Kluyveromyces lactis: one gene and its partners. The protein of the gene in region 2 purifies or fractionates together with the protein of the main gene of each other region. This does not show direct contact. Links are inferred from orthologs where the notes say so. Each region holds a gene or a part of one and is shown on either strand. Other genes may lie near its edges.

The links. The genes of interacting proteins can lie anywhere in the genome.
Region 1: the proteins of RPB7 (region 2) and SPT4 purify together in Saccharomyces cerevisiae (affinity purification with mass spectrometry; 4 studies listed by BioGRID, with this or other methods). This does not show direct contact. The link is inferred for Kluyveromyces lactis from reciprocal best matches to the Saccharomyces cerevisiae genes RPB7 and SPT4.
Region 3: the proteins of RPB7 (region 2) and SET2 purify together in Saccharomyces cerevisiae (affinity purification with mass spectrometry; 3 studies listed by BioGRID, with this or other methods). This does not show direct contact. The link is inferred for Kluyveromyces lactis from reciprocal best matches to the Saccharomyces cerevisiae genes RPB7 and SET2.
Region 4: the proteins of RPB7 (region 2) and RTR1 purify together in Saccharomyces cerevisiae (affinity purification with mass spectrometry; 5 studies listed by BioGRID, with this or other methods). This does not show direct contact. The link is inferred for Kluyveromyces lactis from reciprocal best matches to the Saccharomyces cerevisiae genes RPB7 and RTR1.

The regions. Positions count from the first base shown.
Region 1 is NC_006038.1:705,348-708,037, reverse strand, and holds SPT4 (transcription elongation factor SPT4), read right to left. Parts: upstream 1,483-2,690; coding exon 1,174-1,482; downstream 1-1,173. Other genes in the region: membrane insertase COX18, read right to left, coding at 1-726; glutathione-disulfide reductase GRX8, read left to right, coding at 2,042-2,377; VHT1 (Vht1p), read right to left, coding at 2,460-2,690.
Region 2 is NC_006039.1:593,004-599,049, forward strand, and holds RPB7 (DNA-directed RNA polymerase II subunit RPB7), read right to left. Parts: upstream 2,693-6,046; coding exon 2,177-2,692; downstream 1-2,176. Other genes in the region: DIT1 (Dit1p), read left to right, coding at 1-1,579; MRPL44 (mitochondrial 54S ribosomal protein mL53), read left to right, coding at 3,249-3,306, 3,439-3,677; rRNA-processing protein RRP36, read left to right, coding at 4,026-5,024; KLLA0_C06864g (rhodanese-like domain-containing protein), read right to left, coding at 5,409-5,831. UniProt on the Saccharomyces cerevisiae protein: DNA-dependent RNA polymerase catalyzes the transcription of DNA into RNA using the four ribonucleoside triphosphates as substrates. Component of RNA polymerase II which synthesizes mRNA precursors and many functional non-coding RNAs.
Region 3 is NC_006037.1:594,837-599,334, forward strand, and holds SET2 (histone methyltransferase SET2), read right to left. Parts: upstream 3,283-4,498; coding exon 1,174-3,282; downstream 1-1,173. Other genes in the region: ASG7 (Asg7p), read right to left, coding at 36-728; LST4 (Lst4p), read right to left, coding at 3,725-4,498. UniProt on the Saccharomyces cerevisiae protein: Histone methyltransferase that trimethylates histone H3 'Lys-36' forming H3K36me3. Involved in transcription elongation as well as in transcription repression.
Region 4 is NC_006042.1:1,172,768-1,175,872, reverse strand, and holds RTR1 (RNA polymerase II subunit B1 CTD phosphatase RTR1), read right to left. Parts: upstream 1,810-3,105; coding exon 1,174-1,809; downstream 1-1,173. Other genes in the region: RRG1 (Rrg1p), read left to right, coding at 1-1,061; EMP65 (Emp65p), read left to right, coding at 2,067-3,105. UniProt on the Saccharomyces cerevisiae protein: RNA polymerase II subunit B1 C-terminal domain (CTD) phosphatase that dephosphorylates 'Ser-5' of the CTD and regulates RNA polymerase II during the transition from 'Ser-5' to 'Ser-2' phosphorylation.

The sequences.
Region 1 (2,690 bases), on a different chromosome or scaffold from region 2:
TGCAGTTGCTTGCATCGTCTTACCGTTATACTCAACATTGATCATCGAAACGGTTCCTAAAATGATGGGTATTAGCATTGGTGCTGCGTCCAAGGGCAAACTTAGGTCTAAAGAACCTATATGAGTTAACCAACTTGTCTCTGAAAGATCTTGTAATACATGTGCGTGAGGCATATTTGTGTCCACTAACCTACTATCAGTAAGCTTCCTAAGCCCCATTGACATAGTCACCCATAGAGGGACTTGAACTAACGGTAGAACACTATTCTTCCACATCTGTACGTTGTATTTTTTGAATAAAACTTTTTGTCTCTTACGCATTTCTTTCAACGATAACATCGTTATTTGATCTGGCGTTAACTGCCTTTTTCCTCTTTGAAGCGCTCCGACCGTTTCCTCTTTAGTTTGTATTGCACTACCAGAACTTGTCAATTCTTCGTCATTAGCCTTCGCAGTCATCGAAGCCAATCTTAGCTTCACCACAGGGGGAACACTTTGCACAACTTTCCGAAGCTCTTGCTGCTTCACTATACGTTTCCTTTGCCATATACTTAGTGGTAAAGTGAACACCGTTCTCAATGCAAAAGTGGCAGTTGGTATGAGTACTAACCATGGTACTCCAGAGGCATCGTGTAACTGTACAAAACTATCAGCAATAGCTTGCAATGATCCAAATTGTCTCGAACCCTTCGCAAAATGTACGGCAGGTAATCTTCGAAGTAACATAGTTGATGTAAAACCCCCAAGATACCGATCCAATCTCAATCTGGACTCTTTACTTCACCTTTCAAGGCGAGCAAAGATGTACTGCATTTGATAGAAAATTGTAGTTTAATGGATGATCTTTGAAATGACAAAAAATGTTGAAATGATCAAAAATCATAGTGGACATGGGGTACAACCACCAATTTTACGCCAGATCCTTTAGATATTCGGTAACATAGATATAGATAGATTGATACAGCGATTGCGCTTTTCAATTCAACTTTTTTTTTGGTTTAATAGATATAGTACAGAACATTTGATATATTTCGAAGGATAAATATACATGTAATAAGGGAGCCACCTTATAGGATGCAAGAGGAAATTAATAAATGGGGGCACCAAAACGGCCCCATGACGATTTCAACATAAAAAAACTAAAACAGACAAGTGCTTAACAAGTGCTTAAAATTAATCAACTTGACTTCCATCTCTCGGTTTATAGTGAGGCAAAAGTTCCGTTACCTCTATTGGTAAACGACCATCAATTTTGACAGCGTACATTCCTGGAATATAACTGTCAATACTCATCCATCTCGCTACCCACGACCTGCTAGGTTTACACATACCAACCAAACCTTCAAAAGATGGGGAAGTACATTCAACAGCCGAAACACCTGCCTCTTCAAAGATCGATTGACAGTTCGGGCACCCATTCCTATTGAATTCAGCAGTCGATTGCACCAGTCCACATAACATACAAGCTCTGTCCGTTGACATTTCCCCACTCTTTTCGATGATATGTTCTTATATATATTGAGGCTTTGATTCCAGCTCTAATCACAACGTATGAACTGGTTCTTACCCATAAAAGATCGCATTAACTTACCTAATGTGAGTATGTAGCTTGATGCTTACAGCTTTTTCAAATTGGAAAACTGAGAATCGATGCTCGTTGATAAAGATCATAATCAGGGTAACAACAAATCTGTATAATACCCCAAACAGAGTAAAATGCCACATACAGGGAACGAAACTACATCATGTTATACCCTTTACTAGATGCAACTGTTCGCACGCGTTAGAGACATACTACCGTATTTCAATTCTTAGTGGCATCAACGGTGTCTTTTCTGTGGGAATGGCGGAGTTTCAGCACGGAAAAACTGTGGATGGTCTTAATGAATATTTAAAGGTCAGATTTTCAAAAGAAACTTGAAGATTTCAACCTTTCTGTTATATAAGATGAGGGTCATCCCCCAAATGTGAACAGAATGTAGCTTATTCTCGGTAAAGTAATTCTCATATCATCAGGAAAGAACTAGTCAATTTACAGAGGATGTCTAAGTATATTGCTATCGCCCGTGAAGTAGTTTCTTCTCACAAGTTTGTTCAATTGAGTGCGGGATGGTGTCCTGATTGTGTATATTCCAATTCCATATGGAAGAAATTCGGCGTTACGGACAAGATCTTCAATTATGATATTGCTGAAGTGACTAACAGTAGATCCGAATGGAATGAAATCAGAGATGCATTTCAAAAGGCCACTGGCTCAAGAAACTTGCCAACTTTGTACGTTGATGGTAAGGTTTGGGGTACTGAATCAGAGTTAGCGAGATTTGAAAGGAATGGTACTTTGAAAGAAGAGTTACAGAAGATCGGACTGGTAGATTAGAATATTAGAAGAGAATAATATCTATTATTATATACGAGGGAGAGGAATGAAGTATGTGGTTACTAGTGCTCTTCCGTTTAGATTAGTTATATACACGTTCAGGTTCATTAGTTTCGCTCTTTAAATAATAGTACTCTCCCTCTTTAACTAATTCAGATTCAACGAAACTAGGTATTGGTTCACTCATCTTGGAGTTGTACAAGATGATACCGTTGTCCAATGCATGTCTACGTTCTTGTCTCTTGTAGAAGTACAACACGACGAATGTCCATAGACCATAAATAGCACCGAAGACAAGTGAGACTGTATAACC
Region 2 (6,046 bases):
TACGTTACCGATCATAAAAGAGGCTCATCACCCATATTTTGATGTGGACATCTCCCATGGCCAAACTGAGAATGATATGTCCACATATTCCAAATTCCTATGTTTGTATACAAGAAACTTGTATTCATATGAACTATATTGCATCCAGGACAAACAGAATTGCCAATTTACCGAAAACTGGGAGGAATTGAGCAATATTTTGAAGCAAAAGACCGGAAAAATCAATGAGCATGGTGTGACGGAAGTCGAGATAACTGCAGAAGAATCCCACAGAATGACCCCATTCCATAACGTTGCAATTAAGGTATCTGAATATCAGATTGGTGATGAGAATCAAATCAGGGGTGTAATTACCACTGTTGAAAATGAGAACTCGTTTAATACCTGGTTCATTTATCACATTCTATGCAAAATTCATGTTGGATATAGCTCTGAACCTAGCGTGCAATCTGAGGTCGACTATGCAGAGCTTTTCACCCAGTACTTCGAAAGAAATTTGAAGAATACAATTCAGGGCGATGAATGGATTACAATGAATGGTAGACAATATTTTAAGGAAAGAGTTTGCTATTTCACATCCAGACATAAAAGAATCGAATGTATTTTGCCAGCGTTCCCTTGTAAATCCTCAAATTTGAAAAAGGTCCATGGTGACGTCCCAGATAAAGGAGAAGAGTTAGCCTTTGTGAATCTCATCAATGCAACCAAGGAAATTTCTAAATTCTATCCTCCTGGGATGAAATTATGGATTGTTAGCGATGGGCACGTCTTCAGTGATTGCATTGGCGTAGATGATGATGTGGTCGATTCATATACAGCTCATTTGCATGGTCTTTATAGATCATTAGCAGAACCAGGTACTGACGCTATAGGATTTGCTGGTTTGAAAGATCTTTTCTTTGAAGGTGAGAGTAGTGAATCATTTGATCCCAGATGGGTTGAGGAAATTGAACTACCACATTACACTGGCACTAAGATCTGTCCTGACTCTGAGTTATCAAGAAAGATATTGATGAAGGGATGTGACACTGAAAACGGGAGATTGAAGAAACAATTAAACATTCCAGATCATCCAAGATTGCATTTGTTTCGAGGATTTTCGAAGTTTATGACTGAAGACTTATGTCTATTACCATTTTTTCAAGGCATATCGAGGAAAGGCTTCAAAAAGGTCGTTGCTAAAGTTGCCTTTGAAATGATCAAACGAAACGACGCTTATTCGAACTTAGTAGAATTAGTTTTTCCTCATCATATGAGATTATCGATTCACGCACATACCAATAGCGGACCAAAATTCGGAATTAAAATCATTTCACCTTTACAATGTAAAACAATTAGGTCTTTAGACAACGAAGAGGAACCAACTTTCGAAGATTTGTTGCATATTCCTACACCATGGCACAATTGTGTTGTCAAAATTGAAGAAAATGAGCGCTTCTATTTGACTAAAACCAAAACTGTGATGGATGCAATTGAAAACGGTAATTATGAAGGAACATGGGTAAAAACAGATGTGGAAACTGGAGTTGGTGGCCATTATTTGCTCAGAAGGGTTCGTAAGATTAATAAGATCAATTAAATGACTCCTCAATTTCTTTTTATTTTTTTTTCCAGCCTGCAAGAGCTCCACACAACAACTAATGATACCATGAATTAACCAACTTTTCAATTTTTACTCATAATTCTATCCTAAACTCTTTCGTCCCAAAAACCCACTGAAGAATCGGTGAAGCTAACCATCGGATTGTGTTTTCTTAATTTTGAGATAGCGCCTTTGAATCAAATGCAATTCAACGAGGGATTCTTGTTATTATTTTTATTTTATTTTATTTTATTTGTGATATCTTTAAGATAGAATCATTGACACAAATCGTCATATGTCAATTGATTCATGTGAAAGTTCTCAACAATGTATATGCTTTTAACAGATATTTTTGTAACAGTTTGTGCTTGGTACAATCAAAAAATTAATGTGACGCTATTATTAATTGCTGAGAAAAAGAAAGTACATTGACCATGCTGCTTGTTAAATTAGTTTGTTCTTTTATATTATACAAAATGCTCACAAATGAAGCAGATAACAATGATGACCGGAATTTGGAAATTTATGTCCAAAGCTATATATAGTCATAGTTGCGATTAGGTGAAAAATGTGAAAGGTTCTAGGAAAGAAATATCATATCACCCCCAAATAATCTTCCTTGATACTGCCAATGGCGTAAATAGAGTTGACTTCCGATCTTGCACCGACGATTTTTAATCTTACTCTAGATCCTTTAGTAATAATTTGTTCTGATGATTGATATGATGGAGGATTGGAACCACTGTTGAAAGTCAAATCTTCTGGCATCAAAAAAGGGGAAACGAAGACAGACAAAGGTCCAACTTCCACTTCAAAACCTAAGTTTGTACAACTAGATACGATACCATCAAGAACTTCTCCCTTGAAAGGTTTCCATACCACAGCTCTATATTTAACAGTAAACTCTGCTGACCCGTCCGTAGGCAAAATCCGTCCACGTTCAATCTCGATATTTTCACAGTCTAAAACACATAGGATATATCCGAATTTACCGGTACATGTTCCTTCCACCTCTTGTAGTAGCTTTGTCATCAAATATCTCTTCATCTGAGGTCCAAAGAATGATGGATGAAGCGTTATATTCAACGACAAATCTTTGAAGAAAAACATGGCTCTGTAGTTTATTTCGCTTCTATAAAAAAGATACTGGTCCTTCAGGCAATAAGATCAAGTTAAAGTATAGTTACAATCAAACTGAAAGTCCAATTCGAATATGAATAGTTCCTTTTTAAAAAGCTTGCCAATAGATTCACCGTATCAACGGCTGTTACAATTGAATAAACGAATGAAAAACAACCCGCACTTAGTTCAACCTGCAAACAATTAAAGGCGAGTACCTTATATCGACCTTAAATAACAATCCAAGGATCCTAAAAACCGATTGTGCTAAAAGCAGTCTTGCTTCATTTGCAAATATTGAAGTTGTTCATTTTGCAATTGGATGTTTCTTTCAATATTTTTCATTTCGTCAAACATCGCCCAAAAACATTCAAAAACTATCCGGGTAATAGTATAGCCTCTGATGAGATCGCTATTACCATTTAAACAGTTTTAGGCAAAAAGCTAGAGATGAATACAGCTGTGAAGTATGTTTTTGGATGAGGACGTCTCATCAGAGTAATACTTGGGAGTTTGTCAGCTGTTGTCAAGAGAACTATAGAGCAACATGATCACGAAATATTTTACTAAGGCAGTTGTGAAATTCAATCCATTAGGAAAGGAAGGTATGTCTTCAAAGAAAGAGAAATCATTAGTTGGACATCATTTAAAACTACCGAACACCATTACTAACATAATATGATTTACGGTTGTTTTACTATTAAAACATCAATCGTCTCATTTATCTTCATCTACAGCCAAGACAGCTAGGTTGTTCTTAAGTGCTATTCCTCCTTCACAAAGAACAAGTGGATTACAATTGCAAAACGAAGTTTTGGTTTCTGGCTCTAATAAGAAACCTACAGTGAAAGTTACTTTCAAAGATAAAACTGAATTGGAAGCTGATCCAAGCAGTATGAACTTCATGGAACTAGGGAACTACTTTGATCGTCATTCAAGAAAATTGGCCCTAAAGGAAAGTATTGAATCTCAATGATTTCTTGTGACGAGATACCCATCACAAAATTCATGTATATATAACAATAAGTAAAAGAAATTTAATGTAGTATAAGATATAAAACACTACAATGCTTCAGTGGATTAAATTGAGTCAACGCTGTTGGTATGATCACAGACCTTATTATTTGAAGCTCCCTTCCTGTCCATTATTCATTTACATCGCCTGAATAGGAATTTCAAGTTTCTTCCAGATATTGAAAATTTTATACGGTGCCAATGCAGAAGCGATGAGCTAAACTTAAAATCAAGAAGAACTTCTATGTAGAAGCGACTGATAACTAACCTGTAAGCAGCCACGGCCACAAAAACTACCAGTAATATACAAATGTCATTTTACTTCAAGAATATCAAGCCAGATCTTCATTCAGGAAACGAAGATGAGGAAGATGACATAGCATCAATCATAAGAATAAACGATACAAGTGATGCAGAAGGTTCACAAAGCGAAGATGAGCTAAAGACACTCTCATTTGGATCTTTGAAGAAAGCTGATGAAATGATGGACAATGAGGAACAAACCAGCAGAAAAAGCAAAAGCAAAGCGAATGGTGAGAAGAAACATTTGAATAAGCCAAAATCAAGAGAGTTGACTGAGAAACAAAGGAAACTTGATGATGGACAGAGACGTCAGAGCGGATTACAGGAAGAAGAAGCACAACAAAAGTCACAGTCTATCAAAATGTTTGCAGAAGAATCTTTCGGAGAAGAAAGTGATTCTGATAGTGATGGCGGCTTTTTCGATGAAGAATCAAACGATGAGGCTAATCAGAATGGTAAAAAGAAGAAAGGTAAAAGAAAGCACGCACCAACCGAATCATCGTCAAAGAAGAAAGTGCGCTCCATGAGAAAGATTCCTGGGTTAGAAGATAATAAGAGTAAATCCATCTATCAAGATGTCAGGTTTGATAAAGCCATGGGAAAGTCAGAAGACTTGGCAAAAATCCGTCAACGATACAAGTTCTTGGATGAGTACAGAGAAAAAGAGATCAACGAATTGGATAGCATGCTCCATGATAGAAAATTCCTAAGTAAAATCAGCGACAGAGAGAAGAGTGAAATGGAGCAGCAGGTGAGAAGGATGAAATCAAGATTAGAAACGGTGCAAGTCATGGAAATGGAACAAAAGATTGTAAAGGATTATGAAGCAGAAATCAACAAGAATAACAAGAATAAATACCATTTGAAGGATTCAGAGAAGCGGAAGGTAATACAAAAGTGGAAGTTCGAGCACATGAAGGGTAAACAAAGAGAAAAGGTAATGGATAGAAAGAGAAAGAAGAGATTAGGTAAAGAATTTAAGCAATTCGAATTTCATAAGAGGTAAAGTATGCGATCGGATCAATTGCATTCTACTCATTAATTTCAAAGAGATATTGCCTTTATTGAAACGGATGTTTCATTATGTGTACATAAAGTATAGATGTCAGGTTTTCAAATTTAGGCCACTCTATATAGTTGATTTAACGGGAATAATTTAGATAGAACCCAAATCTAGGACCATAGATTTGACAATCGAGTCTGAAAGGGACAGAACAGTCGTGATTTCAAATAAATTTATACCACATCAGCTAAGTAAAGTAACTGGATCACTCGGGAAAATGAAAGCCTACTCTTTATCCAGTTATTTTTTGGAAGAAGATGCAAACAAATCATATCACTCTCATTATGGATACAACAAAAAAAAATAAAATGAACAAGACATTACAAATCATTTCTTTGGTTGGGTCCTCTGCAGCCATTCATTGATCGAACCAGGCCATACTCCAGTCTTCTCATAACCATAAGATCTAGCTAGTTCTTCAGCTGCTTGAGCTCTAATCCCGGCAGCGCAAAAGAAAATCAACTCCTTATCCGCAGAAGGCTTTGGGATATGGAAAACCTTCTGAAATTCCTCATTGTCCAAACTCAACGCACCTGGTGCAGTCTTTAGAGGTAAATTGATAGCTGTAGGTAATGCAAATTCTTTCACTTCACTAGGTTCTCTCACATCGACTAGAACCTTGTGCGGATCAGGCTTGGCAACTAATTTTTGAATGTCTTCAAATTGATAGATCTTGGCTGGTACAGTAGAAAACGTTCTGAAACCACCGACTTTAGCAGGAAACGATCCCTTGAAAGCACTTCTTAACATGGTAAATAATCACAAACTTTGACTTACTTCTGAACTCCTTTTAAGACACCAAAGACTTGCCTTCATTACTCTGCATTGTCAAATAATTCCCTTGTCCGTTCTCTATAACGGATAAAGCGGTCAAATTAATTTTTCAATATTAAATGTTCAAGATCAACACAGAAATTGACAGAAAGAAGGAGAATTAAGGTTGAGAATGGAATTTTTCACTAGCA
Region 3 (4,498 bases), on a different chromosome or scaffold from region 2:
TTCTTTTGTATAATGCGGACGAGTAATGCATATGTTCATTCTCGGTACGATGCCGGTTGGCTGTTAGTCTTAACGATAACTACTATCATTATAATGGATATTGTGTACCCTGTCATTGCACATAAGCTACGCAGAAACCAGTTCCTGATAGTTCTTGCATTAACGTCATGATTTTTCATTAGTTCAGAAGCGATTTCTTTTAGACACTGAGCTGTCACTATGGATTTGGTACCACCGTCTTCCGTCTCAAATGATGAGGAGTCTGTTGCACCCTCGTCCAGGGTAGTAGCGCTTTCCGAAAACTGGTTTTTTTCATCACTGCCCTTCGTTGGATCAGGCAAAGAGAGATGTTGATACGTAGTCAATGGTACGGGATCTGGTAGTTTTAAAGTAAGCATGGAAAATGTCAATGGGTTGTTAATAGCGTAGAAGTCCTTGGTAATACTTTTGTTTAGTGATGTGACACTGCGCTGTTTCCATTGTTGGCATTCATATTCGGTATATAAGGTTTCAGAGTCAAGTTCCGGGACCCTAACATTGTGGTCGATTATCCAGTTGGCATAAAGGTACAACATTAAGTTAAGGATCCATAGCACGGGTAAAACAAAACCCATGATGAAGAAACGAACCATGTAAAATTCTACATTTTTTCCTATCTTGCAACTTCCACATTCACATATGTAGTTCTTTGCTACAGAATCATAAAAAGTCGAACCAAAAGTACTCATATTGTCCGAATAGTATGAATTTTATTACTGCCTAAATTTAAATTTAACACGGCAGAGAGACGTTTAGATATGCATTTAAATAGTGATATCTTAACGAAATCATCTCAAGATTACATTGGCTTACCGGCAGCTTATATACTTGGGTTTCCAGCGCGTTGTAAAATAACTCTCTTTCGACGTCCATGTTTTTTCTTTAAACCTTCATGTGTCAAGTTGATAATTGTCAAAGAATCTTCCTATTATGGAAATTACAAAGACAAGAAACTCGATAACATACGGCGCTTTCAGGGACGAATCAAACTATATACATGCGCATAAGGGGTACGGTAGCCTGTGCTATGAGAGGACTGCCCCCCTTTCTTCTGACTTCTTGGCCTTTGAAAGTTTCTATCATGTAACGTATGACATGGAATTGATACAAAAGTGTTTGCAATGTTACTTGATATCAACGTTTCTTCTCTTTCTTTTCTTTCATCTTGGCAACCAATCGATCCATATACTGCATCGAAAACGTTTTAACTTTAGCTCTTTTCTCTTTAGAGAGTTCTTCAGGTGGTGATCTAGAACTGTCTTTCTTCAATTCCTTTTGGGCAAGAGACTTGACAATGTTTCTAGCAGATTCCTTGAGAACATCTTTGCCCACGTCCTTTTGGTAATTTTTAATTAAGTTTGGAACATGTTGAGCGAAGAACTTGACCCATTTATTTTCGATAGCATTGACATGACTAGCTTGTTTCTTTACTTTTTTCCTTTCTTCATCCTCTTGTTGCTGTTTCAATTTCTGAAGCCTTTCAAGTTCTTTCTGTTTATTGGCCTCCTCGATGATTCTCTCCAATTCGCTCTTCTTTTGGGTTTCTTGATCCAATTTTGCTTTTAAAGTCTCTTGCTCCATTAATTTCCTTAGTTCTAACTCCTTTTGTTCCCACTCGATTCTCGATTTTTTCCTTTTCTCGTATTCTTCTGGAGATAGCGTTCTTTTCTGCTGCATCTGGCCATAAGTAGGCGTGGGTATGTACTTAACAGACCCACTATACCGACTGGTATTTGAAGAAGGTGTTGCTGATCTCGATTTAGGATCAGAAACTCCAGAAAGGTTATGGCTTGAGTTCGATCTATAAGCAGAATCAGTTGGAGGATTGGCTTGTTTGATCTGCCTTTGAGCATTATAATACACTGGTCTGCCATTCTCATGAATGATTTCCCAACCGATAGGTAAACGTATCCGCCGTAAATCTATAACTTTGCTATTTTCTGAAATATCTTTCTTGGAGATTCTGGTGTAAGTTTCATATTTGGACCATTTCTCTAATAGATCTTCACATATCACTTCAAATTTAGGAGTATTCTTTAATTGTTCGACCTTCTTATCAATTCCAGAATGAATTATACCATTTTTAGTTGTCTTGGGTAAAACTAACAAGAAGTTTAAAATCTTCCATATAATGTCTGGCTTATCTTCAAACATTGTGATAAGTCTACTAAAGATCAAGTAACCATGCAATTTGATGAACTGATAATGCATTGCTTCATCTTCAGTCAAAGTGATCCTTTCAAGTAGCTTTTCTGCAATGAAGGCGTCATCTATCTGTAATAATACACTCATCACACGATTAACATCTTCAGTCTTCGTACAGGGTTCTAGTGATAAAGAATTAACGAAGTCGACGTTAACCGTTGTGGTGTCACTTTTAGCTATTTTCTCACCCTTGGCCTTCATCATATTGATCCATTTTTTCTCCATGGACGGCCTTATACCTAAGGCATCTGCAAAACTTTGAGGCAATAGCGATGCCGCGTCAGTTTGAGTCTTACCACCAAGGAATCCAATACAGTTTGGTTCCTCGCAGTAACATGGCTGTGCATTGGCACCGTACCTATCAACGTTGTAATCAAACGTCACTTCTTCTCCCTTGCTGATGTGTCTGTTGGCAAAAATACCCATCTTTAATTTCCCGTTAACTACCCATTTATTAACGTATGCATTAGGATTACAAGAATGGTTGCAGAATCTGGCAATACACCCCTTTAGCGTAGCATCAATGAACTGTCCGGTCTGCAACATCATAAAGTAGAAGTGCTTAAATCCCATTTGGTCATATTTCACCATCCGGTTACGAAACTCTTCCTCCTGTATTACTTCTCCAATATATTCATAAATAAAGTTGTGTGGTTCAATATCAGAATTGGCACGGACGCCGAAACCTTTCCGCTCCGTCTTGAAAACAGATATATCTGCATACGCTTTCTTCTGGAATCTTTGGTTCTGACAGTCAGTACCGCACGAGTGTTTGCAAAGACCGTTCACACACTCAATTAAAGTGGCTCTATTTATACAATCAGAATCCTCACCGCACGCATGGTTTAAACCGTCCCGAAATTCCTCAAAACAGTCACATTCCATAAACTCATGCTTAGAATCACCCAAGTTTTTAGGCGTATACGTACATACATCCAGCTCAGCGTACGTTTTCTTTGCTTCAGAAGTCATATCCGGAACATCGAGAAACAACTTCGGTTGCCTCGTATTAACAATTCCATTACCGCTTTCCGTCATAATATTAACAAACAAAAAAATACAATTGATAATCACACAGAACTTAATATGAGTGATAGCCCTTCTGAAGATGTTATATTAGATCAAATAATCACACCAATGTTCTATTCTCTATCTTTCGTTCCTTGTCTTCCCCAAGTATGCTTTAATTTTTTTTTCCAATTCTATATACTATGCTACAACAAAACAGCACTGTAGATTTTATCCCTGCCTAAAGCCTAAGTCCCCCGACTGAACAATTCTCAAAAGATCTGACAACCAAAAACAGCAATCTAATACATATAAACCTAGTGATTAATCAACATTTTCCAACTGAATAAAGCTTTATAGGGCATCAGAGACCCGAACCATTAGCTTTCTCAAAAATTTTGGGTAGCCTTGAAAGCTTGATTTTCATCACAACGTATATAGTGACGTGACACGTGATCCAAACTCTCTAAACCTATGTTGAGGCACACGTTACTATATCGTTGAAGAGGGAAACTAATGCCTCGTTGTCGTTATTGCATTCCATGAGTTTCTTTAAATGCTGGTCTGTCGTTTCTATGCCTGAGAGCATTGCCCTCGAGACGGGACCCACTTTCCCATTTTGCAATATCTTCTTTGTTCTCTGTATGAATCTGTTATTTGTGTCTCTCACGATAGTGACTTGTTTGATCTCTCTTGATCTGAGCGAGATGAGTAACGTTGATGTGGATTTATCTTTTTTGCATGGATCTTGATCTGCGTACGTTAAATCTCTCTTCATCGAATGGATCACCTTGTTTTCGGATTCTGTGGTGATCTGGCACGCTTGTAGTTGGAACCATTGGTTGTAGTGTGGAGTGTAGGACGTGAACCTTCGTAATAGTTCTTGATTTTGATTATTGCGCTGTTTTCTGGGAGAAGCCATATTAACTTCTACAATTTCGCCATGCTTTTCGTTCGAGACCGTTGTGTCATAGCTTGGTGGATCTATTACTAGATCTGCGAATGCGTCGTTTAAAGAGTCCTCGTCGATGAGTCGATTCACGGTTCGTTTCATGTCAACGTCGTATATTTCAGACTGTAAATGCGTTCTTCTTTCCTTTTCTGTGGTGTAAGAAGATATTGGTGTGGGTATTCTTTTCTCTGGTCTTGGCTGATCCCTTGCAATTGGTGACGGGGAAAACCATGGGTATTCTTCATATTCTGCAATGGTAGGTGATGGCTGAGGTGTTACACGTTGTGAACCGTT
Region 4 (3,105 bases), on a different chromosome or scaffold from region 2:
CCAACGTACCCACTGATAATCTCCAGATTGAGCTTTGGAACACATTGAGACAAGCAGTACGACGTAACAGAAATCATAAAGCTGGCTGGTACGTACGTGGATTATTGGAGGATCTCTCTCATCTGAATAAGTATATTGTCGGCGATGATATAATCAAGCTAGTTGCTCTAAAGAACAAATACACAGAGCAGATCGAGCCTGCTCCAGAACCGTTGCAGCAAGCGAACAAACCAATTTCTGGTGTGGTGGTAACTGAAAATATGGGGGATGAGAGTCGAAGGGAAAAAAAGAAGCGATTAGCACCTATTCCTGGTGATGGTGATTTATACCGCTACCTTCTTAGATATTATAAAATATATGGTCCGACTAAAACGATACCTCGTAAACATATCGACGAGCTACTCAGACCTCTTGCAATCCACGAGAGATACTGTAAAATTTTGTACAGGATTGAGTACCGCATTGCCAAGGGCCCCCCTAAAGTTTCTATTAACTACACCAACGCTGGCCAATCCCGAATTTGGTTCATACGATCTCCATTCAATAGGAAGGCACGCCAGTCTAAGAAATTGACAGGAATCATAATTAAGGCACGGCTTAGAGCTCAAGATAATCTCGATAGATTTAGGGAGTGTGAATCCAAACTTTTCTATGCATTTCAAGAAGCACAATGGGAATATACATTGATTCACAAACAACCATGTTCACGAAAATTCAATGACGTCGTGACACAGATAAAGAGTGGTAAGTCCAATGACATCCCTGCAGTGTTCATCGACTGGATAAAACCAATCCTCGAAGATATGGACATTCTCAACCGGATAAATGCTAATACACAGCGTAAATTCACCGAAAGTAGAGATCACTTAATTGACGGAAAACAATATGAATATTATAAACAACTGAACCAAAGACTTTATAAAAAAAGGCTTGAACGATTCTTGGGCTTGAAAGCAGAGTTACCAACGACAAACCCATTTACCGAAGAGAAAAATTTAGGTGCTTTGCTTGTTAAATGGAGGTTCCTTAGACCAGATCAATTAGTGAAAGTTAAATCGTAAATAAAACTATTTTATGTATGACTATATAATGCAGGATTGTCCATATATTTTGAGTTATAGAGTCAAAATGCTCTACCTCAAATATGTTTGTACTTGTCATCATTCTGTCATTTCATCTATCTCGTCCTAAATCTCCAATGATATTTGGCTCGTTGATCTCTACGATCTTAATATCAGCTAACATGTCACTGATATCCCTTTCCATTTCCTCTCTACTATCATCGTCCGCGAGTTTCAAATCAGTCATACCACGAATCATCTGCTTAACATCAGACTCTCTAGCTAGTACTTCTTCGAGCAATTGTATCTCACTAGGTGGCTCATAATCGTCAAGATGTACACCGACCCTAGCAAACAAAGCCTCGTCTGAGAGCTGAAACTGGTAAAACTGTGAACATCTAAAATGAGCCTTAGTACAGTATTCTGTAAGGTATGCATATGGGTTATTTTGTCTTAAGAAATTGGTCATCTGTACATCTGCGAAGGGATCACGTACTCTCGCCTGGCTTTTGCTACAGAGTGGATATCCACAACGCTTCACCAAGTTCCTTTCTTGGACTAGATCCGCATAATCCTGTTTGGTAAGGAACCTTGAAATGTATTTCATCGTCCTTGCATCTTTCACGTCTTTTGTAATCAATAAGTCTATTAAATTGATACTTATAGTTTCCACTTCCCTTATGGTCAATTGTCGATGGTTTGTATAGGGTTTTAATACAACCTCTTTGATTTCTTCAATGGTAGCCATTGCTATAGTCTAATTATTTTGGTAAATTATTTCACGGTCGTAGTTGGTCAAGCAGCTGTATGAGGTCCCTTATTCATGTGCTTTTCTTAAGTTTACCTTCTTTACTTTGGCACTATCAACCCTTCGATGTGATTTAAGCAAGGACTTTATTTTAATTCAATGTAGATCGAATTCGAGCAGACAACAACAACAGAAGAAAGAAATATCCATGACGAAGTAAGGTCCTTAGCACTAACCGGTCAGTTGTGCCTCAACAAATGAGTTCACAGGATTCTGAAGCCCACCTCAAAAGGCGAAAGGCGAGGTCTAAGGAAAGCAGTTCTGGTGCTGGGAGAAGGGTATCGGTTGAACAAGACGTGAATACGGTGTCATCATCGATAAAGAACTTTATATACCAGGAGATTCTTCCCCAAACAGCCAAGGTATTCGAAGAGGAACCATGTGATCAGAGTGAGAAGTCTGTTGAATATGATCTGGAGCAGATTGCGAACATACTGAGGGTACCATTCCAAGTCGAGCAATTCTTTGTCTTTGCGATATTGACTTGTTTGAACTGCTTCTTGTATTACTTTACCATTATACCACTTAGGGTATTCCATGTATTAGTGGTGAAACGAGATGGTCCTAAAAGAATACGACAAGAGCTTCTTACTACTGCGATGATTCTTGGACCCTGTTCGATATTGAATGTCCTTGACACCTCAAGAATATATCATAAAATTAAGGGCCAAAATGCTATTAAACTATACATGATATTTCAGGTTCTTGAGATGACAGAAAAGCTCTTATCAAGTGTTGGCCTTGATCTATATTCAATTATCATGCTCAAGAAGAGTGCCAAACATAAGACAGAGATGGTAATGCTATATATTGCATGTTGTTTATGTTTAAGTTTCCACGCGTTGATATACATCTACCAGATTCTTGCCATGAACGTTGCGGTAAACTCGTATTCTAACTCCTTATGGACGCTACTGTTGTCAATGCAGTTTTCAGAGTTAAAATCTGCAGTTTTCAAGAGAATTGATAAAGAAGGATTGTTCCAATTGACTATGGCTGACGTCGTGGAAAGATTCCAGTTGATCGTATTTCTAACGGTCATTGCAGTGAGAAACTTTATCGTAGCAAGAAAGAGCTTGCGCGATGTTTTACCACACTCATGGAATGTTCATTCTACACAGTCCTTGATAGTTGGTATATTTATAGGGCCGATTGTCACAGTAATTGGAAGTGAATTGATAGTGGATTGGATCAAGCACGCATATATTATCAAATTCAACAGAATCAGAGCGCATA